Daphnia pulex: one gene and its partners. The protein of the gene in region 4 purifies or fractionates together with the protein of the main gene of each other region. This does not show direct contact. Links are inferred from orthologs where the notes say so. Each region holds a gene or a part of one and is shown on either strand. Other genes may lie near its edges. The genes, in order: zinc finger CCCH-type with G patch domain-containing protein-like, probable RNA methyltransferase Y17G7B.18, serine/threonine-protein kinase prp4-like, U4/U6 small nuclear ribonucleoprotein Prp4-like and squamous cell carcinoma antigen recognized by T-cells 3-like.

Region 1 (4,410 bases), on a different chromosome or scaffold from region 4:
TACAAGCATTATCCCAATATGAAATTCTTGGTAAGTTCTTTTGTCTCTATCCAATTCTTTTTAATATATTTTCATTCTCTACCATTAACAATCAATTCAATTTAATCAATAGATCATCAGCTTCTTCTTGGCTTGCGCCTCCGCCCAATGGGTTGCCCCATATTACAGCCAATGGTCCCCATACAATCCTCAGTTTACCAATGACTTGTTGTCGAAGAGCGTTGACTTGAACAAGGACGGCCAACCCGATGTCCCAGTCTACACCGCAGCCCCCGCTCTCTTGCCCAACTACTACCCCTACGCCGGTCTGAACTACCGCGCTGGATTCCCCTACACTTACGGCGCTCCTTTCACCTACCCCTTCGTCCAGGCTGCCGCTGCTCCCGCCGCTGAGGTCAAGTCCACCCGCAGCAAACGTCAAGTTGCCGTCCTTCCCCACAACCCAGCTGAATTCCTCAACGATTTCCGTTACAAAAGCGTTGACCTGAACCAGGACGGCCAGCCCGACAACGCCGTTTACACTGCCCCAGTTGCTCCCATCGCTCCTGCCCGATTCGTCACTCCTTACCCTGGATTTACTGGTTACTACCCTCAACCTTACCCATTCTTCAACGGATTCTATTAATTTAACTGCCCGCTAACCCACCATTGAAATGAACTGTTGTTATAATTGTTATTACCTTCTTGTTTGGAAACTCTTATTGTTTCTTACTTTCTGATTACAAAATTCATATCGCATTTTTATGGATCATTGTGATTAGTTGAAACGAAGTTTAGATTATTAGTTGTTACACGGTTATCTTTATTGGAAGTATTACGGAAAAGGTCAGTTTAGAAAACGGTCAATTTAGAAGAGCTCTTTCTTTGCTTTTGCTCGTTCACTATGTGACGATCAGAAGCTCGAAGTCGATCTAAATCTTTTTCTTTCTCGGCCAGTCTCGATCTGATTTGCGAAACGGATGCAAGGTCACCACGATCACTCTGACGTTGAAGAGATTGTTTCATTTTAATGATGTCACGCTCAGCTCTGCGAATTTCTTCTCCGATCTGGAGGCTTTGAACGTTCAGCTTTTCACGAGTTAGCTGCCCCAAGTCAGACACTTTTGTTCGTGAATGCGAAGCCCCGTCTGTCCAATCAAATAAACAATAAAGATTGCTAAGGGCTGCTAACGGATGAGTTATTGGTACTCTTACCTCCTTTGGAATCCTGTCCACTGGTTTTTGTAAGCTTGGAATTGATGAAATCGAAAACTGATCCACGTTCGGATGCGTTGGCTATTTGACGCAATCGATGCTGGGCTTTGGCTTTTTGGCGTTCAAGTTTCTTTTCCACCGAAAGCATATTCCCACTTCCGGCTTCTTCTCTCAATTCCATACAACGATCTTTTTAAAAACCAACAAAGAGACCAATTAAAATTTAAAAGAAAAAGATATCTACTGATGCCACTTACCCAGTGATCGACCCGGCGGGAAAACCATGGCTTCTACTGGATTGATTCTACCTTCTCCTTCCTTTCCCAATCCAGAACCATGGACATACCCCATTTTCTCCATTAGTCTAGATCCAATTCCTCTAGTATGTTTTTCCCAGAATCCAAACGAGCCAGTTTCTTTAGCAGCTCCTACGTTATGTTCTTCTAGGCATCTCGGAGTAAATTGAGAGTCGTCGTCGTCTTCATCCTCACTGGATTCAGAGGACGAATCTTCGTCGTCTTCATCTGATGAAATCGAAATAATTTTGAAATAATTCTATGGCCATAAATATTGTAACCTTTACCTAGAGGATAGACAGCATGCAAATTGAGTAACAGTACATCATTGCAATGTTGGAATTTGACGGAAAACTCTGTTCCTTTGATGATGTCTTCAACAATTCCTCTGTACCACAGTTCATCTTTATACTTTGCTAATACTGTGCAGCCCTCAGTGATTTTGCTATAGTCTGGATCACTGTTTTGAAGTGAGAAAAAATAATTACTTTTAGATTTAGATTTGATGAGATACACACCTGAAATCTTGCACTTCATCCAATCGGACAGTGTAGCCATGGGAATAATGACACTTTTCATCTGGATATTTACAATTTCCTTCTAAAAAATATGGACATGGCTGCATTTTTTTAGTAGTGGGGTGCATGAAAACAGCTTTCACATAAACTAAATCATCCTCGCCTAACTCAGAACCAATGATAATAGCACTGTGGTATCCAACTCCACCCCATTCATATTTAAACGGAGCTTTACATTTCATCCCCTCTAATGCTGAAAGTTCTTCCTAGAATATAAAAATAAAACCAAACATTTCAGCTGATTCATTGAAATTATGCCACTTATTGTCAACCAAAACTAACATCCAAGTATGATTCATTTTGGCTGTTTGCTGATGAGGTATCATTATCTTCCTGGACCGGTGCACTTGATAGACTTGTTTCAGTAAGCAATATGATTTCTTCTAAATCTTTTACAATTTGCTGCAAGTCCGGTTTTTGTTCTTCATTCGCGATCAACAATGCATCTTGTATTTGTTTCAACTTCGTTTGAATAAAAACAACTTAAAAATTGCGATTCTTTAGAAAATTAAAATCGTGTCTACCTGATTTTGGTATATTTCAAGTGAATCCTGTAGTGATTGCACGCTTTCTGACATATTAAAAGGATAACGGTCAACTTCAAAACTGTAGCGAGAAAGACATCGAGCTTTGTCGAGAATTGAAAAGGTTTTGATGTTTTGTTTATAAATACTACGGTAGTCTGCTAGCAGCGTTGCAAAGCAATGAAAATGTGACGAGAGCATAATCTGTTAATCTAAAGTTAGATTAGATTTTTGCTAATGAGTGATTTCGATTTTTTATGATTTTAGCTAAATTTTTGGCTATTTTGAACAAAAATTTGGCCGTAATTGGCCATATCTGGCAACGTCGAAGGCCAAATGAAAAAAATCGCGAGTGATCGGCTGGAGTCTGGAGTTCGAGCACCGTCAGCCCGACGGTGCAATAGACTCGACCAAACCTGCATCTTCGACATTGCCCAGCATAGTGTAGGTTTTGCCTGCACTGTTGGCTCTGTAAGTGAAAAGTAGTGCATTCTTGTCCATCAAGAAATCTTGTACAAAATTAATCTTGCAGAGTCTTTGAAAAGATGTTCCTGTTTCACTGATGAGTCATCAATTTTGTTGAATTTTAATTTCGGTAAAGTGTTCTTTCCAGAGTGGTGTCTAGTCTTGAATGACGCAGAAGTTTTTTGTGCTCTTACAATAATGTGATTTCCGTTGATCGATTAAGTGCTGTTTTTGATTTTCTCGTCTAATGGCTTTATTCTTACGTGAACTTTCAAATAGTTGATAGGAGATCCATCTGACGGTGCTCGAATGCAGTGCGTCCAGACTCCAGCCGTCCACTAGATTTCTTGATGGGCAAGAATGCACTGCTTTTCACTTACGGAGCCAACAGTGCAGGCAAAACCTACACTATGCTGCTGGGCAATGTCGAAGATGCAGGTTTAATTCCTCGTTCTTTGGATGTTGTATTCAACAGCCTGAAAGATAGACTACTTAAGAATCCTGCCCTAAAGCCACTCGTTCTTAATGAAGTCATGAAACTGAATCATAACCAAATTGAAGCAGAAGAGTTGGAGAGGTAGTATTTTCTCCTTTTGCAAAGTTTTTAAAAATAGTTTATTTGAAATAATTTGAAATTTTTAACCTACGTACTGTTATTTTCAGGGCAATTTTGATGAATGGATTTCATTTCAACTCTAAAACTAAGGACAGCATTTCCTCGGTTCCTTTTGGATCATTGGATGATTGGAATATTCAAGCTTGAGAAGAGACAGTTTGCCCTCTTCAACACCCTCAAGATTATTTTTCAGTTTGGGTATCGTACTGCAAAATTTATAATGAACAAGCCTTTGATCTACTGGATGGATGTGACAAAAAGAAGAAATGAGTAGCCTTGCGTATTACTGATGATTGCAAGAAGAAATTCTTTGGTAAAGGTAACGTGTGCTATTTAATATTGTGTGAATCAAAATTTTTTTAAATAATTTATTGTTTTCTAGGCCTTAAAGAGATTTGCGTCCCTTCTGCTGATGAAGCTGTCCGAGTTTTGCTTTTTGGAAAAGAGAACTTACACTTTGCTGCTACCAAGTTGAACTACAATTCCAGTCGATCTCATTGCATCTTTACGGTTAAGTTATTTCGAACAAACCATTGCGACGAGCCAAGTGAAGCTGCCATCCACATGATGTCCTTTGTCGATCTTGCTGGAATGGAACGAACAACAAAGACTCAAAGTAAAGGTGAACGGCTAAAAGTAGCCGGAAACAACAATACTTCACTCTTCATACTTGGTCGTAGCATCGACGCTATGAGAAGTAATCAACAAAACTCCAGTAATAAAACAACAATGATTCC
Region 2 (4,564 bases), on a different chromosome or scaffold from region 4:
TAAGACAAAATTAATTGACAAAATTTACAGCGATTAATTATTTTCACATATTGTACTATGTTAATTACCTATGGAAAATTTAAAGCAATAGACAGGAACAAAGCTGAAATCAAACTGGAGATGATTACAAAAATGTTCGTTGTGTCTTTGCAGGTTAGAAATGTGGATAGGACAAAATCTTCCCTTCCCTTAGGCTGCCGAGGGGGGGGGGGAGCAGATACGTAAACGTGTTTCTAATTCTGAGTTTATAGAGAACGCCTCGCCTATAACAGAGAATGACATTAAAAGAAAGAAGAAAAAAGGTAGAATAAAAACAGGGCCTTATTTGAAAATTCGAAAACAAAAGAAATATATAGGGAAAAAACTCGATGCGTATCGTTTTGAGCGTCAAAGTAACGTCGTTTGTATCTGTCAGGATACTTTCTCTATTTAGATCTATCGAGATAGGCAAGCCAGCAGCCATAGCGTTGGAGTCTTCTTCCCTCTTCGAGTTGATGTGCGCACATTTACAGTATAAGAATCTCGACTGCGGTCAAGAAAAGGAAATGGAAAACTGTGAAGAGTTTTATTAGTTTTACTACACAAATTATTGCATTTATGCCTTATAATCAGCATATACTACGTATTCTATCAGCACAAAGTGACTGCAAGAATCTGTGGCTGAATAAGGCTGTTTAATGAAACCATTTTTGGTGACAAACACATCCAACGGTTGCAGCAGCATAAATAAGTTGGCAATAACTTGTCTCGTATTGAATGCTTTTGTGTCTCGTTCGTCTCGTTTGTCCATCTCCAATTACGGAATCAAAGATCAACACTGTTTTGTTTTTGTTTTTTAAATTTTTGGATGAGCGTGATTTCTGGTTGGAAGCAATATCCAACCCGGAGGCAACGCGTTGCTTGCACTGATTGAACGACTGCAAAATGATCGTCGCTTTGAAAAAAATTTCGCTTTGAAAAAATGTTCCCAATGGTTTCAATTAATTTGATTTAATAGCTAACACTCTGAATTACTTGTTAAATATCGCAATAAACTTGATAACAAAACTAGAGATTTGGAATTTTAAAAAATAATAAATAAAATCTATCAGATAGAATAGAGACACGCGTGTCTCTATTAGCGGTACTGACAGTAGCTTATTCTAGAAATGAGTTCGTTGCCTCCGCTGGTGTTCTGGTAAACTCATAACACTTGAAGGAACAGAAAGGAAATGAGTTATTATCATCAGATGGAGTTCGAAGAGGAAAATAGTTAAGGGTGTTAAATAGCAAGAGCATTGGCATTTTTTTAGCTGCGAACCTGGGAATAAATAATATGTTTCAAACGGAAAAACTCGACTAAAATTAAGTAAAATCAGTGGAAATGAGACGGGCAAATAGATAAAATTGGTAATGTGATTCTGCATCGAACACGATATCAGATTCAGATGCACTGTGTTACATATCATTGACCTCAATTTTTTATGTTATAAGATGACCATTTTAATCATGTATGTCTCAACATTTGAGCATGTGAATTTATTCTTGTTTCGTCTACGCTCGACGGTAGCCTACTGCTTTTTCTCCATGAAGCCAATTCCATGTCACTATCATATCCTAAATATCATTTCAAGATATAGGGTCTACCAAACCGTAAGTACATAAGCAAAGATTTTGTAGGGTGAAAGCTAATTTCATTATGTGCTTCAAATTTGCAACCTTTTCCCGCTGGCGCTAGTTATAAGTTAACATATAGCCTGTGGCGCTATCAATGCTCACAAAGAATTACCGCATTATAAAGATTAACTAATTAATTATAACACTGAGAAATTTTAGGTTAAATATTGAAAGGGAGAATCAAGAGATAAATAATCAAGAGAATGATTTTAAACATCTACAGTTAACATTGTTTAGCTATTACTATAAGGGTGAAGCCAGTATGCCGAACGCCGAAATAGGGGGAAGAGAATGGGTAGATAGATGTCGTGTACGTGGTGTGATTGTGTGACGTATATTCGTAATATGTGTATAACAAACACGCAGGCAGTCGACAAGTTGTGGCATTTTACTTCATGAGCCACGCCATCTATTGATTTCTTATATTCCCTTTTAGATCCCTATCGGCCTCTCCCTACTCCGACCAGATTTTCAGATTGCTATAATTAATTTCTGTCGAGGAAGAATTATAAGATCTATGACCAACTGATAGATGCAATCAGTGACCAATTTAACTCAGCCCACGAACAAATGTGACAAACCTATTTGATGTAAGACTTGTGCGTACATTGGCAAATATGAAATTCAAATTTATTTTGATGTGAAACTTACTTGACACGGTAGCCAAAGTAGGTGGTAAGAACCATCACGGCAGAATTATTTCAATTCATAATAGGATAAAGCAAATCATGCAACAATGCACAACGGTGCTGCGGTGTTATGTACGCTCATGCTTGCGGCTTTCTACAACAATTAACAAACATGAACATAATCAAATTATCAAAAAAGATCAGCAATTCAATAAAGCAATTTTTATTTGGAATTAAGTTGTGAGATAACTTTTAGAGGAATGGAAAGATGTTACGTGTATACCTGTCCTACGAATGCGACAAGAGACGATTCTTTTATTCGTGCCGCATTAATCCTCTTGCTGAGCTGCTGCAAATTGCACCTTTATACTTAAAACTAAAAATTTCGCCATCTATACGAAAACGATGGAGTGATCATAGTATCATACACCGAAACTAGATGGCGTGGAACGAAACGTTAACAAAACGTTTTTATTGAGTACCTGAATGGCTGAATCGAATTCTGGAAAATTTAGATCTCCAATATATGATTGGATTATATATGATTACGAATCACATGATGGCAAGATTATTTACATTCTTAATAAACTTGGATAACTCGTTTTTACATTCTTAAGTCTTAACAGATGCATGCGTAATTATTAGTAATTGCATACGTAGGAGATGTCACTTTCTCCCTGCATGACAGAAACAGAAATTTAGTAAAAATTTTGAATTCGATTATAGGAAGTACACCTAGAAATGTTACAGTAACCTAACCGAGTTTATAAGATACAACAAAATATATTGAGTAGTAACAGATTCACAATTTAACACATAATTAAGTCAAATAGGAGGAAATAAAATCATTCATCATGTTCGTCGACATGGCTTGAAATTGAAGTATTTTTAAATTGCACTATAATATGGATTAAATTTTTTTTAATGTCTTACAACTTTATGAAGTTTTAACGAATAGTTTTTTACGTTATCCGTCACTTTTAGTTTTTGATGTACATAATAAATGCACGTCTAATTTTTATCTATTACTAAGCTATAGAATTTTTCAATAATATTGGATTTCCATAAGCGCATAACCTGACTGCAATTAATTCTCGATCAACCGCAAATTCAGTTTCTCTTAAACTAGGTACACATGTAATGCTCAGTGCTTTTTTTTGCCAATTGTGCAACGCTGCTATGAGAGAGGGGATGTATTTATTACTGGGGTATGGGGACTGAACGCAAAGAAAGGAGCAGAAGCATCAGAACGTCGAATAGACAAGGTTGCTCAGGATACACCTTGTCCAGAAATTGGAACACAAATCATCACTTTTGCCAACTCAATTTTAATTCTAGGTAATAACTCATCCTTTCCAATTGTATTGGAGCCAAAAAAGTAGGTTATAGTTAATTTTCTTTGTTTATAAAATACGTTTATGATGTGAGGTTTCTGGCGTGACCGCTAGATGCTGCACAGCGTGTGGATTTATTTAAATTTGAAAATTATTTAGAATTTGCATTAAAAACTTCTAAAATTGCAATGTTTTAGTGTGTCAATGTTTAAGCAGAGAGATGTGTGTATTGTAAAGCTGTTTTCTTTTTACAGATTGCTGAAGCAAATTTAATGAAACATCATGGCATCAACCCAAGTAGTCTCTCTCAGTATTGGACAAATGAAGCGGGTGCATTTTCCTGCAGAAGGGGATGACAGACCTGTAGAAGCTATTCCACATTTTGTCAGTCCCAAAAAAATGGTGAAACCAGTAACAGGCAGTCAGCGCAAAAGAAGTCTCAGTCTTTCATTTGAAAGCAAGCAACATCACTTCAAGAGAAGACGCAAGGAAGAATTTGTGAGACCAACAAAATTTCTACTTGGAGGCAATAGTCGAGACCCGTTGAACTTGGGCAGTCTAGCAGATGAAAGAATCAACAAAGCTTTGAATGAGCATACCCCAGAATCCTCTCCGTTACCAACCCCTAAACACAGGAAGGAAGAAATTGAAGTATTAATTCCATCAAATATAAGGGATCCTTTAAACCTGAGTATGCCAGATGATAATTTAGCGGAAAGAGCGTTAATATCTCCGAATGCCGTCTCTAGAAAAAAGAGAGGACGAAACCGTAAAAGAAGGAGGACCAATAGCGCCAGTGAAGTACTGGATGCTGGACGACATTCACCCGAATTGAGCACGCTCACATTGGATCTCCCTGTAGTCAAGCAAGTCGCTGTTGAGTTGACTGAAAGTCATGCGACAATCGAAACAAAGCCAGAACCTGCTGTAAGAGAATTCAAGGAT
Region 3 (4,586 bases), on a different chromosome or scaffold from region 4:
GCAAAATCTCCAGTTCTTTGAGCCCAGTTTTATGCCTGAAAAGAACAAAAGAGGATTGCTTTAAATTTGTGTCCACTTAAAAAAATTGGCATCATCTCTCGCCATCATAAGGGAAAAGATATCCGGCGAAAGCCCGTTGATGACAAGGCACATAGTTCACAGCATTACGTAAACAGTTCGATCCAAACAGATTAATACCCAACTGATTGGGCTGCCCGATCGGTTCATCCACTGTAAATCAAGAACAGCTATAAAGGCGAACTGATAAGCATGCATAAAACTCAATGAAAACTATGTGCATTGACAACTGGATACTTCCTTGGGAATATACGCAACTGATGAACACTCACATGATCTCATTGTTGCGAATAATCTTGATTGCCACTTCTTGGCCAGCTCGAAGTTGATCTCTTGCACGAATTACATTCGAAAATACACCTTGGCCCGTGTAACCATATACAGAGTATCGCCCATCCAAAGTCTCTCCTATGCAAACTCTGTAATAACCTTCGGCGTCGTCCCAGTTGTCAGTTAGATTAGGGTTGTCTGACACGCGTTTCATTTGTTCCATAGCGGTAGCAGGACTCTGTTAAATGTACATAGAAAATGGTTTCCAACTGCTATTAAAATTGTTCAAACATGACTTCGAATGACAAATGGTGCATCAGTGTGCTCATACAAGAGGAAGCTAAGATGCCGAAGTGTTGCTTTCAACGACGTCGCCAAAGGAGCAGTCGGACACGGCTTCTTCTATTGATCTACGATAATCTCAATGCCATCAGCTTAAACATTTTTCTAACAAAATAGTAGGCTCATAAAATAAATTACGAAGATACGCAAGTAATATTCGGCACTAACTGAAATTACTTGTGAGTAGACTGGATTGAATATGGGCACACTAGAAAAAAAATAATGAAATAGAAACTCACACTGTACTCTTCCGCAAACATATCAGCTTCCGGAGCGAACATGTCTCTCTTTTTAGCACGCTTCTCTTCCTCAAGCTTCGCTTCCCTGGTATCCGTTTGACTGTCAGTTTTTCCAGATGGTTCACCAGTGATAGAATCTTTCTGCCTATCCACATCACTAAAGCTGCTTTTTGTCACGATGATAGGAGAATCAAACGACATGTTAGGAGTGCTCATCATAGAATCTTCTCCGCCTTCGTTTAGCACTTCTTTGAAAGGTGACGATGTTCCAGATACGTAGCCCTCTACATTCCAAGACTGGCTGGAGTCTTCTGAAGGAGCTCCCAGTTTCTGTGATAAATGTAGGTAGAAAAAAATGTTAACTGCCAATAGGTGCTTTGTTTAAAATATTCAGAATTTGCATTACCTTAAGCAACTCCTCCCTCTGTTTACGGCGTTGCTCAATAATCTTATCCTCGTCTTCTTCTTCATCCTCAAATTCAATATCCAGTGGACTAATAAATACGCAACAGAAATTAGGAACAATTAACAGCTGAAAAATCTACATAAACGCTAATCAAATTTCTTACACATCTTCCGATGATGACTCGTTTGGCTTGCTAGATTCTCCATTCTTCGTAGAACGCCTTTGATCTTCTTTACCTGGCCGATCTCTGTGATCATCTCTTCTCGGCCTATCTCTGTTCCAGTCTCTATTACGATCTCTTTCACGATCTTGTTCATTTTCTCTAGTTTGGCGATCTCGTCTGTCTGGTTCACGACCTCTGTCACGATCACGCATTCTTCGATCTCGGTCTTCTCTCTCGCGCTTCGACCGCATATCTCTGTCTCTTCTATCTCGTCTCTCTTTAGATCGGTCTCTTCTTTCGCGCTCGACTCTTTCCCTTCTTTCTCTTTCCTCTCGTTCACGTTGATCTTTCCTTTCTCTTTCCTCGCGCTCACGTTGTCGATCTCGCTGTTCTCTCTTTTCTCGTTCTTTTTCTCTTTCTTTCTCCTTTTCTCTATCCCTTTCTCGTCCAGGATCTCTTTCTTTTTCTCGATCTCGTTCTTTTCCTTTTTCTCTTTCACGGTCCCGTCCAGGTTCTCGTTCTTTTTCTCTACTGCGTTCTTGCTCTGACTCCCTTTCTCTTATCCGTTCTTTATCCCGAATTAAGCGAGATTCCTTATTTCGCGTTTCGGTTAAAACTTCGATTTCTTTCAATTTGTCTCGTAGTTTTTCAGTAGTTTTTACTTCGATCGTTTTGGTTTCGGTGTCAGAGCAAGAAGAATCGTAAGCACCAAGTCTAGCTTGCAGCAGCTCCTGTAAAAAAAAGTTCAATATTGTTAATGCTTACAAAATAATGTTATGAGATGAAAAACCTTTTGTTTCATCAGTTCTTCCAGATTCAATTCTTCTTCCAAATCTACAAGGGTAATTTCTTGAGATTTTCCATTTTCCACTCCATTTTTCAGAGTTTTCCTTGCTTTTGCAGGTTCAGTTTCCACATCAGATTCTCCCTTTTTTATCTTTTTCTTTTTCTTCCTTTTTTGTTCATCATTTTCAGATTCATCTGAACTTTGATCCCTCTTCTGTTTACGTTTCTTTTTCCTGAAAGGTAGAAAATTGGGATTGCAACATTCATTTCGTCAACACAAAACAATATCATAATTTATGTGATTTGTATATCTATAATACATACACGGGAAAAGTTTGAATTTTTTGAAACTTGGAAACTTACTTTGGCTTTTCATCTTTTTTCTTGTGTTTGTGAGTCTTCTTTAATTTAGTTTTTTTGTGCTTGCTTTTGGTTTCGTCTTCTTCTTTTCCTTCATTTTCATTCTTGGCTACCAGCATGTCGACGTCGCTCAACTCCGGTGTGCTTAAAAAGAATTCAAACTAATTTAGTTTATGATCATGTGAATATGAATACCATAAGCTTACCTCATATTGCTGTATTTTGGAACTAAAGGAATTGCACGCGTTGATCTAAATAATACACAACAACCTATTGAATACCAACACAGTGATGATTTTGTCGACAAATTTCGACAAATTTTGACAGACTAACAAACTAGCGAACAGCAGGGTTGTCAAACACTTGTAAATTATTTTCCAATTTAAACATAGAAAGCATTTGTTTTAATTTAGTCCTTATATTTCTATTAACTGGGTGATTTTTTATTACATTTTAATTTTAAACATGAAATATAGAATAAAACGAAATAAATTTATGACTGTTGTTCTTTTTTTTTATTATAAACTAAATCAAAATTCGGAAAAAGAGGATGGTTCTCATGAAATACAGACAAAAAATTTCGTGCATTTTTGTCTGCTACTTTACCTAATCGAGATTCTAGAAGAAGAGAAGACTGACTCACAAATCTTAGGGACTGAGTTTGCGGTTAACGTAATAGACGAAACTTAATCTATGGAGATTAATCTACAAAATGTCAGGATTTTCTGATGCCGCACTAGAGAAAAAATTAGCCGAACTAAACAACTCTCAACAAAGTATTCAAACATTGTCTTTGTGGTTAATCCACCACCGTAAACACCATGCTAGTATCGTCAAAATTTGGTTAAAGGAATTCACGAAAGGTAGTAAAAAAATTCCTAAATCCACATTTCCAATTAAATTCCAGCATTTCTATTTCTTAGCCAAGGACAGTCGAAAACTCACTTTCATCTATCTCGTCAACGATGTCATCCAGAACAGCAGAAAGAAAGGTCCAGAATTTAGAGATCACTTTGGTCCAATTCTTGCTCCAGCCCTTAAATTGATGGGTCAAGCTGTCAATGATGAAAACACTCAGAAAAGACTAGAACGAATTCTCAATATTTGGGGAGACAGAAACATGTTTGATTCCAAACAGATTGCTGAATTCAGAAAATCATTAGGTATAAGCTATAGAAATAATTTTCATTACGTAATTTTAAATGATACCTTCATGCAGAATCATGTCTCAAGAGAAGATTTGACAATGGAGAACCCCCTGTCAAAATATCAAGAAGAGATAGGGGTGAGAGCCGCGAAATGTTAGAAAATGTCAAAGAAAACAAAGAGCAAGAAGATCCTGATAAAACTAAGAAAGAACGAAGAAAATCAGAATGTAATGAAGTGATACAGTTTGATAAGGAAGGAAAGAAAGAAGTCCACATAACTTTGTCTCCAAAACTACCTGCTAATGATGCTCCAGAACCTGAAGAACTTGTTAAAGCACTTCAGACCCTTGAAAATGCAGCATCAAGTGATGGTATTGTCAGGAAAAAAATTACTGAATTGCCTCCTGAAGTATCAGATGTCAGTTTGCTTTCAAAAATCTCAGGTAATTCTTCCAAGAAATTTCGTGTGTGGCAATGCCAAAATCTATTTTTATTCAGATCAAGCTCAAGCAGAAATGTTAACTGGTAAAGTAAACGAAGCAGTTGAGTTACTTAATGACTACAATGGCCGATTGTTGAAGGAGATGGAGGATCGAAAAACGGTAACTAAAATGCTGCATGATTTCACGGCAGCACAGAAAGAACTTTTAGTTCAAGCTGAAGAAAGACTTCAGGTAGGGGATGTGACCTAACACACATCTTTGTTTTTTTAATTTAGTTTGGCATTGATAACATAATAAACTAAATTAATTTATACCTTTTTCAGGAGTATAAAGAGAAATTATCCAAAGTAT
Region 4 (4,285 bases):
CTCGCAGATTCTATAACAGGACGATTCTCGTCTATTCTACGAGGTAACTTTAATAGTCAATCGGCATCGGAGCTATTACATAAACGTTCAACAGGTGAAGAAACTCAAACTGACTTCACTTCCGACAGGTAACATAACTAAATCAGACATGACACATTGATACGTTATAATGTAGAAATGTCGAACAAAAGTTTTCAAGAAAGTTCTTGCTTTGGAATTAGATTGAAAAGAAACGGCGTCCGAATTTTGTTTGGGTCCGTGCCGGCAGAACCCAATTTTACCCAGTTATGGAATCCATGGAGCAAGGCAATTCCCTGGTTAACGTTTTTATCGCATCCACTACTTTCAAGTAAAAAGATTGCAATTCTGTTAATCATTATTCGATGGATGTTAACTCTTATTTTTACCTATGAATTTTAGCTGAACACACGACTCCTGCTATATTCGACGTTAAAGATTTTACAGTCAACCTACAGCGAACTTTGCAAAACGAGTACCAGGGTTTAGTTGAATACAAGCCAATTATAATGAATTCGTATTTAGGGCTTCCAGCATTAGTACACAACTACAGTCAATTCGGATTTTACAAAGTACGAGGGAAAGTAAGTTTTTAATACTCCACCCAATCTTCCCAACCAATAGGCTTCAACTTTTTTGTATTTAATTTATTAATGTTTTCGAAGTCCAATACACAAATAAAGAAATCAAACAAGCATGGTCGTCTTCGAAGCTGCACTCTATACTTCTACATTTATTCAGGGGACCAAAGCTTGTAAGTGCGATCGTACGAGGCTGTGGCGATGAACGACCCGTCAGGCGATACATCAACTGCCATAACCTGTAACAATAAAATAAAAAAATTGAGAAACACATCACAAACGTATCTGATTAAAAAATTTACTTTTCCGTCATGTCCCGAAAGGGTTTTCAATGGTTGCCAAGTGTTACTCGCCCATATCTAGGGCAGAAAATTATTTCAAATATATATAGATGACAAATGTAACATTTAAAGAATGCAGAAAGAAAATCTATTAATGATTATTCATACCTTTGCGGTACAGTCATATGAAGATGAGACAATATACTGTCCGGAACTTCTTTCGAATTTCACGCTCGACACTAAATTTGTGTGTGCAGGAATAGTATAGATACAGGATCTCTTACGTAAATCCCATATTTTACAGGTATTGTCTTCACTTCCAGTTACTATGTGGTAGCCATTAGGTGATATATCGATGCCCAAGACACCTTTTAAATGACCTTCCATAAACATGATGCAGCGCCCAGTTCTGAGGTCCCATACTCGACCAAAAGAGTCCATGCCACTAGAAAAAATTCCACATGTAATTAAAATATTATGTTAACATATTTTTAGGTGTTGGTACCCTGTGATAGCCACTGAACCATCAACATTGAATGCTATGTTGTATACAGGTTTGGAATGCCCTTCTTGATGAAGAACTTCTACACCCTGTTCTAGATCCCATAGCCTCCAGGAATTATCAAAAACACATGTAGCTAAAAATCTTCCAGAAGGATGAAATTCAACTTTTGACACTCGATGCGGAGCATGTCCTTCCATATCAGCAATCGGCTCTTCACTTTCTAAATTCCACAATTTGACTGCGCCGTCCATGGAACATGAAGCCATATTTAATTCTGAAGGTTCTAAGCTCAAGGTGGCTTGTGGATGGAAGACTATTGCTCCAACACTACACTTGTGGCCTCTCAATGAATGAGACAAAGTGCAGTCAGGTACATTCCACAATTTACACAGGCCACTCCTAAAACATGAATTGTTTTTTATTATCTGATTAACTCTCTTACAATCTCAGAATATTTAATACCAGGAGGCAGTGGCCAACAAATTTCCACTTGGGCTGAATTGGCAATATGATATTGGTCTTCCATCACCAACTTGGCTGCACATGATGTTCATACCTCTCATCCGTTTCACCATTTCCTGCCTGGAAAAGAAAAAATATATTAATTGGGATGTGCTTTCATAACAGAGCATATTTCAGACCTTTTGGCTGTTCTTGTTGATTCTGGTATTTCAGATTCAAGTTTCACATTAGATAACCTTTGTTTTGCTCTGGGGAGGGAATAATATGCTAACCACAAACGAGCAATTTTGAGTGATTCAGGACCTTCATGATACCAAGTGGTTTCAGTTTGATCTTTCTCAACCTTCACAATTTCTTTTTCATCTTCTTTTTTTCTATCGATCAAATCATGTCCATGAACCGAGAGTAACTCTTTTAATCTATTTCGGCGATCAGCAGGTCCTTCACCAAAAAGGGTTATTGGTTCACCTAATTGCCTAAGATGTTTCCGAATTTCCCCATCGTCAATTGTGATAGCGAAACCGGTTGTGGACGACATGTTTAAAGAAATGTGTTTTCTAATTGAACTTTTCCTGTTTTGATCTCAATGTTTAAATATTATAGACACCGACACCTCGTTTTGTCACGTTTTTGTTGTCAATACGATCGTTCTTAAATCTTAAATAGACTTTTACAAGCCAGACGACTCCCAAACGAAAAGCGACTTACGGTATGAAAAAATCATGTGCAGCATACAGAGCCACTGGTGGAAAACTGGAAAACTATGTTCCATGTACTCATTCTTCGGATAATAAACTGCCGCTCGCAAAAGAAATTTTAAATTATGATGTGTGATTTATTACACTACCTAATATACAAAACAGCCAGTCTGAATAATACCTGAATACTGAATCTTCGGTTTATATTACCAATTTGTGATTTCGATTAGAAAAAAATTATTCGCACTCATAGTGCAGCACATGCCCATCTGGGATTTTTTTCCAAAAATGATTTTGTTGCAACCTATAAAATTGAGGTTCAGCTCAGCATACAGTTGTTAATAGCATAAAATGCCTGATATGCGATCGATTACACATGCAGCAGACTGTGTAACAGACTGTGTAACAGGCCAATTTGGTGTACGGAAACATTAGGGAGTATACTAGGCCTAGTATAGGGACATAACCAAAAATGATGTTTGAAATATCAGATTGTCAGTTCAAAATTTGGTTATCCATTTTATGCATCTAATTTTAGAAAACTGTATAATAACTACAAAGAATTGTTCTTAATAAAGATCTGTATGAGAGGGAAAGGAATAAAGGATGTATTCTATTAACGCTTTAGATACAGAAATTTTATATTCTTAGTATTTCGTAGGATTTCCGGATATAATTATACATGCTTAAACACGGCATTATTTATTGGAATTTGGCAATTTGCAAAGAGACACAAGACACCACACAGACTAAGATTTGAAAACCTGTCGGATCCTTCCGCCCTTGCCGCTATTGAGTGTGTGGGCCGGTCTTTAGCTCCGGGCGTCATCTAGTTGGAGCTTGGTTAGTCAAAAGCACTGGCATAGGAAAACTGATCGCTTGACCGGCCTTCAATAATACAAGGCAGACACACTCAAACAAGCATTTTATATTTTGGAAGTTTGCAAATTTCAGGTGGAAACTATTTGGTTACTTTCAGCATGGCTGCTGGACCTGTTTCAGAAAGAAATCAAGGTAAGAAATTTAAGTTTATTATGCACTAAAATGAAATGACTATGTGAAATTTTTATCATTTTCAGATGCTACCATTTATGTTGGTGGGTTAGACGAAAAAGTTACGGAGCCCTTGCTGTGGGAGTTGTTCGTTCAAGGTGGTCCTGTAGTAAATGTGCATATGCCTAAAGATCGGATTACTTTACTGCATCAAGGATACGGATTCATAGAATTCCTCAGTGAAGATGATGCTGACTACGCATGTAAAATTATGAACATGATAAAGCTGTATGGTAAACCCATTCGGGTAAACAAAGCATCAGCACACCAGAAAAACTTAGATGTTGGAGCAAATATTTTCATTGGAAACTTAGATCCTGAAGTTGATGAAAAACTTTTGGTAACCAATCAGCATTCCTTTAGGTTCAAAACACAATTTAATCTATTATTGCTTTTTTAGTATGACACATTTTCAGCATTTGGCGTAATTCTTCAGACACCAAAGGTAAATTTGAAATCATTGTTGGGGTTTTAAATTTTACTATTTTGTTTTTTTGAATGCAGATCATGAGGGATCCTACAACAGGGAATTCAAAAGGCTTTGCATTCATCAACTTTGCCAGTTTTGATGCATCTGATGCTGCCATTGAAGCCATGAATGGCCAATATTTATGTAATAGGCCAATTACTATATCATATGCCTTCAAGAAGGATTCTAAGGGTGAACGCCATGGATCAGCAGCAGAA
Region 5 (4,645 bases), on a different chromosome or scaffold from region 4:
ACATTATTGCACTTTAAGAATATTTTAAAACTAAGTTTGAATTTTGAAAATGGTAAATATAATATTTTTAAGGAGTAAATATTACCGCCAGCACTTTGTTTACTTCAAAACTGTTGTTATTGTATTGTATCGTGAGCTTCAGCCACCAGACGGCGTCGTACAAAAATACGCAACCGCAATTATGCATAACGATTGACTTTTTAAATTATTAATTATCAGAAAATCTTTATCATATCTTATCAGCCCACAGAACTCAATAGCAAATGCAATCAATTTAAGTTATTCAAAATAATATATAGGGGTAGTGCACATACCAAATATCGAAAATAACATGCTTACTTGAGACGGATATTGGTGCAATAGGCCAAAAGGAGAATTGCAATAAAAATTTTACAGTTATGGTTGATCATCTTTACTAGAAGTTAAAGTCAATTGGCGATGTTATCTGACGGCTCGTTTAGATGAAGTTGGCACTGTGACAACGAACCAAGGAGGCCATCAAGTGAAGAAATGTGCCTCCTTAAATGTCTCTTTAAAGTAATGCGCGAGGTAAACAATTTTCCACAGATGCTACAAGTCAGCTGCTCGGAATGATGAATTCCAAGATGACTTCTTAACTCTGTTTTTGCATTAAATGTCTCTTTACAAATAGAGCACTTGAGGGCTTTTACTGCAACAGCAGATTTTGAATTATTAGATGATTCTGCCGTAAAGAAAATAGACAAATTTGTGATCACTATACAGACTGGTAATACAATTTTATTTTTGTACCTGGAATTGGCTCTAAAATAATCTTCTTTTCAGTGTGTGTAGAGCACTGGGAGATTTGCCTTTTCCTTTTAGAATTGATTTCTGAAGAAACTGTGTTTTTGGTCAAATTTTCATTTGAATCATCTGTTTTTGTGGGAAGAGATTCTTGAACATTTTCATAAATTATTTGAAGATCTTCATCTTCATTTGAGCTTGAATCAGAATCACATTCAATTTCATGCGACTGCAGCTTTTGCAGCTGTTCCTCAACCTTTCTCTTTTCTAATATTTCCACTTGGAATTGTTCTTTCCCATGTAATTTTACAAGACCTTTGACTTGAAGTTCTTTGGCATATGTGGACACTGTCACCAAGTCGACTGATGATCCTTCAGCAATCCCATTGTAAAGGTAATTAACCAAGCAGACCATAGGTTTATAACTATTGAATGGTAAAAGATAAAAATGGTTATTTTTTAATAAGTTTCAAATGGGAATGACTATTACCTGAATCCTTCAAGGAAAATGACAGGCTCAACATGGGAATCACAACCCAATAGCAACTGGCTAAACAAAGGGCTAAGCGAAGCGAGAACAGAACGATTAACCAAAATTTTTTTTCCTTCACAAATTAAAGTTACATCTGCGTGACATTGATTTTTATACATGGCCAACAAATTCCGAGTCCACAGATCGTCCAGAGATTTAAAATTCGTCTTGTTTTCCATTTCTTTGTTTAAGAGTCAACCAAGTCTAAAAATCACTGGAAATATATTTCTTCAACTCTTTAAAAAAGCTAAATAAAGTATATTTCGAATTTCGTTGAGCGATCGTCTTGGATGTGTTGTTTTCAACAGTCAATCAAATCAATTAATGTTAAGCAGAATAGCAGATGTGATTCATGTGAAGATTTAAGTCTTCTGCTTGATAGTTCATTCATCTGCCGCTAGGCTGTGCGTGCCGAATACGAACAACATCGATGTAATGTTGTGTTGTCTTTGAAATTAACCCAACAACCCCAAAACTCGATCTCGAATTATTAAAGAATTATACAGTACAAGTGCTTCTATTTATACACATACACAAAAAGAGCTTCATGATGGATGTCCAGCAAGGTTTTGCTGAGGAAGATGAGACTGAAGAAATGAGTTTTGAAGGCAATGACAACCCTAATGGGTCAGGCAGCTCTGATTCTGATGATTCAGAAAAAGAAAGGGAAGAGCATTATGTTCTCGAGAGAAGAATTGTTGAACTAAGAAAAGAAGTAAGTGTTTTCCCATGTTTGTGAATTTTTTGGTTCAATTTTTAAAAAAATTGTATGTTTTTAGCTCGCAAAATCTCCAAATGCCTACAACACACATGTTGAACTGATTAGTTCTCTACAAAAACTTGGGGAACTAGATCAGTTGAGATATGCCAGAGAATCTATGCATGCCATTTATCCTCTGACTGAAGGTAAGATTTAATAAACAATTTAGATAATTTTTTTTTTACATTCCTTATTCTCTTATTTAGAACTATGGCTTGACTGGCTAAGAGATGAAATTAAACTTGGATTAACAGATGAAGACAAAAAGAAAATTGAATTGCTGTTTCAAAGGGCAACAGAGGACTACTTAAGTATATAAAAATATAAATTTTCAACTTTTCAAAATATAAATATTATCATTTTCAGATATTGATATTTGGGTGGAATACATCCAATTTTGTCTTGCTGGAATGGATATTGGAGGTGTTGAAGCATTGAAAAAAATTAGAGCAGTTATGGAAGAAGCCATTCGACATGGAGGACTTCATGTTGTAAAGGGGGCTTTGCTGTGGGATTCTTATCGCGATTTTGAAATGGCGATATATCAAACAACTAAAGGTGGAAGTGAAACTGAGAAGACCAGTCAAGCCCAAAAAATCACGCATTTGTTCAACCGTCAACTCTCCGTTCCCTTGCTGGATATGGTAAATTTCTTAAATATCGTAGATTTGTTCTTCTTACTGAAGTCTTATTTTCAGGAGCGAACTTGGACAGAATACAATGAGTGGCTTCAGATTTTGGATCAGAAAATTGAACCACATGTCAAAGCCACTTATGACAAAGCAAAGGGACAAATGGAAAAGATAGCACCCATAGAAGACACCCTGATAATCGCTGTTGAAAACGACCACAAGGTTGCAGCTTACCGTACGTATTTGGATCTCGAGATGAATGAATTTAAAGATCCTGCTCGCATTCAAGCACTTTTCGAGCGTATTGTTGCCGAGATGCCGCTGTATGACTCATTCTGGAACGATTATTGCAAGTTCGTCGATCATCAATTCAAAGCCGCAGAAACCACTTTTGCCATTTTTAAACGAGCAATCCGCAACTGTCCGTGGAACGGACCCATCTGGTCTGAGTACATCTTGGCTGCCGAGCGCTACAAAAAAGAGGATGGATTCATTGCAGGTAGATAAATAGCGAATTATAATAACCATTCATATTGTTTTTTACGTTAATAATTCAAGGGTTTACTCAACAGGTTTAGTAGAGAAGGCTTTCAATGCGGGACTAGCAACAGCGGCCGATTTGCTGTCCGTCTGGATGAGTTTCATTGAATACCTTGTACGAAAATGCACATGGGGTGACAGTGACAATGAGAACATCGTTCAACTTCGTGAAGCTTTTACACGAGCGACCGAACATTTAGATCAAAGTAAGTTTTTCTAAGACCAATGAAATCGCCAATATAAAAACTATAACTTTTTTGTTTTGTAGCTTATGATGTCGAAGGAGACCCGGAGTGTACACTGCTACAATATTGGGCATATTTCGAAGCAAAAAAGCTGAATAATATGCCTAAAGCTCGAGACCTCTGGAGCAAGATTATAAGCCGGGGACACAGTAAATCTGCTCAGTGGTGGCTGGCTCGTGTTCAGTTTGAAAGGTTATTGATCTAATTAGTTAATTCTATTAGAGTTATATTAACACAATGCTTATTATAACAGAACACACGATAACAATAAAGAAGAAGTCCGCAAATTATTTACGAAGAGTCTAAATGGAGTCTCTTCGTCCGATTGGCCAGAGTTGATCGTTAAGCAATGGCTGCAATTTGAACGCGAAGAAGGAGACTTACAAACCATGGATATCGCTAAACAGAGGTCTGAAAAATAATTTAAAGCTTTTGAAAATTTTGATTTTAATTGTTTAAATATGCCAGGTGTGAAGCTCGGATGAAGAAGGTTAATAAAGAAAGAGAGGGGCAAACGGTTCAAGAAGTAGAAACGGCTAAAGGTAGGAAACGAGGAAAGATTGAAGATGCGAAAGAATCGAAACCCGTGCCTGCCAAAAAACCTAAAATAAGCCATGATGCCGCAGCAACTAGTACGAAAGTTGTTCCCAAAAAGAAAGTTGAACCTAAAGTAAACGCCACCGAACCTGCTAGCAAGCCCGTTGTCATTCCTAAACCGGTTACCGATCCTTCCCGTCATGCCAATACGGTCTTTTTAAGCAATCTGGCCTACGAAACATCTGAACAAGATGTACGCAACATGATGAGTTCTTCCGGCACCATAACGGACATACGTCTTGTTCTGGACTACAAACAACGTTGCAAAGGATTTTGTTTTGTCGAATTTTCTTCACAAGTAAACTTCCATAATTAAATTTCCTACGCTTGTCCGTTAAATTCATTTAAAACTATCTTAGGATGAAGCGAGAGCAGTTCTGAAGCGGGACCGTGAGCTCATGAAAGGACGACCGGTTTTCATGTCTCCAAGCGAACCGGACGCAGCATTGAAGCATCCAGCTTTCAAGTACCAGTCAACATTAGAAAAGAAAAAACTGTTTATCAAAGGTACGTATTTGCGATCTTTAGGTACGAGCTTAATTTGTTTTTATCCCAAATCTATTTGATGTTATAA

What was found.
Region 1: the proteins of U4/U6 small nuclear ribonucleoprotein Prp4-like (region 4) and zinc finger CCCH-type with G patch domain-containing protein-like purify together in Homo sapiens (affinity purification with mass spectrometry; 4 studies listed by BioGRID and IntAct, counting the BioPlex papers as one, with this or other methods). This does not show direct contact. The link is inferred for Daphnia pulex from reciprocal best matches to the Homo sapiens genes PRPF4 and ZGPAT.
Region 2: the proteins of U4/U6 small nuclear ribonucleoprotein Prp4-like (region 4) and probable RNA methyltransferase Y17G7B.18 purify together in Homo sapiens (affinity purification with mass spectrometry; 4 studies listed by BioGRID and IntAct, with this or other methods). This does not show direct contact. The link is inferred for Daphnia pulex from reciprocal best matches to the Homo sapiens genes PRPF4 and MEPCE.
Region 3: the proteins of U4/U6 small nuclear ribonucleoprotein Prp4-like (region 4) and serine/threonine-protein kinase prp4-like purify together in Homo sapiens (affinity purification with mass spectrometry; 3 studies listed by BioGRID and IntAct, with this or other methods). This does not show direct contact. The link is inferred for Daphnia pulex from reciprocal best matches to the Homo sapiens genes PRPF4 and PRP4K.
Region 5: the proteins of U4/U6 small nuclear ribonucleoprotein Prp4-like (region 4) and squamous cell carcinoma antigen recognized by T-cells 3-like purify together in Homo sapiens (affinity purification with mass spectrometry; 5 studies listed by BioGRID and IntAct, counting the BioPlex papers as one, with this or other methods). This does not show direct contact. The link is inferred for Daphnia pulex from reciprocal best matches to the Homo sapiens genes PRPF4 and SART3.

What each region holds. Positions count from the first base shown.
Region 1 is NC_060017.1:8,204,234-8,208,643, reverse strand, and holds zinc finger CCCH-type with G patch domain-containing protein-like, read right to left. Parts: upstream 2,821-4,410; 5' UTR 2,794-2,820; coding exon 2,593-2,793; intron 2,531-2,592; coding exon 2,351-2,530; intron 2,275-2,350; coding exon 2,009-2,274; intron 1,951-2,008; coding exon 1,778-1,950; intron 1,719-1,777; coding exon 1,452-1,718; intron 1,384-1,451; coding exon 1,195-1,383; intron 1,128-1,194; coding exon 832-1,127; 3' UTR 626-831; downstream 1-625. Other genes in the region: uncharacterized protein LOC124193369, read left to right, coding at 1-30, 113-625. UniProt on the Homo sapiens protein: Transcription repressor that specifically binds the 5'-GGAG[GA]A[GA]A-3' consensus sequence. Represses transcription by recruiting the chromatin multiprotein complex NuRD to target promoters.
Region 2 is NC_060021.1:10,084,060-10,088,623, forward strand, and holds the start of probable RNA methyltransferase Y17G7B.18, read left to right. Parts: upstream 1-1,525; 5' UTR 1,526-1,632; intron 1,633-3,343; exon of another isoform or gene 3,344-3,414; 5' UTR 3,415-3,623; exon of another isoform or gene 3,624-3,663; intron 3,664-3,873; 5' UTR 3,874-3,901; coding exon 3,902-4,564. UniProt on the Homo sapiens protein: S-adenosyl-L-methionine-dependent methyltransferase that adds a methylphosphate cap at the 5'-end of 7SK snRNA (7SK RNA), leading to stabilize it.
Region 3 is NC_060020.1:7,005,120-7,009,705, reverse strand, and holds the start of serine/threonine-protein kinase prp4-like, read right to left. Parts: upstream 3,012-4,586; 5' UTR 2,856-3,011; coding exon 2,851-2,855; intron 2,789-2,850; coding exon 2,648-2,788; intron 2,518-2,647; coding exon 2,289-2,517; intron 2,230-2,288; coding exon 1,499-2,229; intron 1,424-1,498; coding exon 1,336-1,423; intron 1,260-1,335; coding exon 930-1,259; intron 587-929; coding exon 351-586; intron 36-350; coding exon 1-35. Other genes in the region: regulation of nuclear pre-mRNA domain-containing protein 1B-like, read left to right, coding at 3,357-3,507, 3,568-3,807, 3,864-4,235, 4,291-4,466, 4,559-4,586. UniProt on the Homo sapiens protein: Serine/threonine kinase involved in spliceosomal assembly as well as mitosis and signaling regulation. Connects chromatin mediated regulation of transcription and pre-mRNA splicing.
Region 4 is NC_060018.1:6,530,423-6,534,707, reverse strand, and holds U4/U6 small nuclear ribonucleoprotein Prp4-like, read right to left. Parts: upstream 2,526-4,285; 5' UTR 2,386-2,525; coding exon 2,027-2,385; intron 1,968-2,026; coding exon 1,848-1,967; intron 1,785-1,847; coding exon 1,386-1,784; intron 1,326-1,385; coding exon 1,049-1,325; intron 959-1,048; coding exon 902-958; intron 839-901; coding exon 752-838; 3' UTR 640-751; downstream 1-639. Other genes in the region: tumor protein p63-regulated gene 1-like protein, read left to right, coding at 1-128, 222-349, 421-614; splicing factor 3B subunit 4-like, read left to right, coding at 3,526-3,559, 3,625-3,938, 3,999-4,043, 4,103-4,285. UniProt on the Homo sapiens protein: Plays a role in pre-mRNA splicing as component of the U4/U6-U5 tri-snRNP complex that is involved in spliceosome assembly, and as component of the precatalytic spliceosome (spliceosome B complex).
Region 5 is NC_060026.1:14,703,093-14,707,737, reverse strand, and holds the start of squamous cell carcinoma antigen recognized by T-cells 3-like, read left to right. Parts: upstream 1-1,682; 5' UTR 1,683-1,844; coding exon 1,845-2,012; intron 2,013-2,076; coding exon 2,077-2,203; intron 2,204-2,263; coding exon 2,264-2,368; intron 2,369-2,423; coding exon 2,424-2,701; intron 2,702-2,755; coding exon 2,756-3,188; intron 3,189-3,261; coding exon 3,262-3,435; intron 3,436-3,497; coding exon 3,498-3,666; intron 3,667-3,727; coding exon 3,728-3,883; intron 3,884-3,942; coding exon 3,943-4,369; intron 4,370-4,430; coding exon 4,431-4,578; intron 4,579-4,645. Other genes in the region: putative methyltransferase DDB_G0268948, read right to left, coding at 1-4; zinc finger and BTB domain-containing protein 18-like, read right to left, coding at 429-703, 772-1,190, 1,256-1,476. UniProt on the Homo sapiens protein: U6 snRNP-binding protein that functions as a recycling factor of the splicing machinery. Promotes the initial reassembly of U4 and U6 snRNPs following their ejection from the spliceosome during its maturation.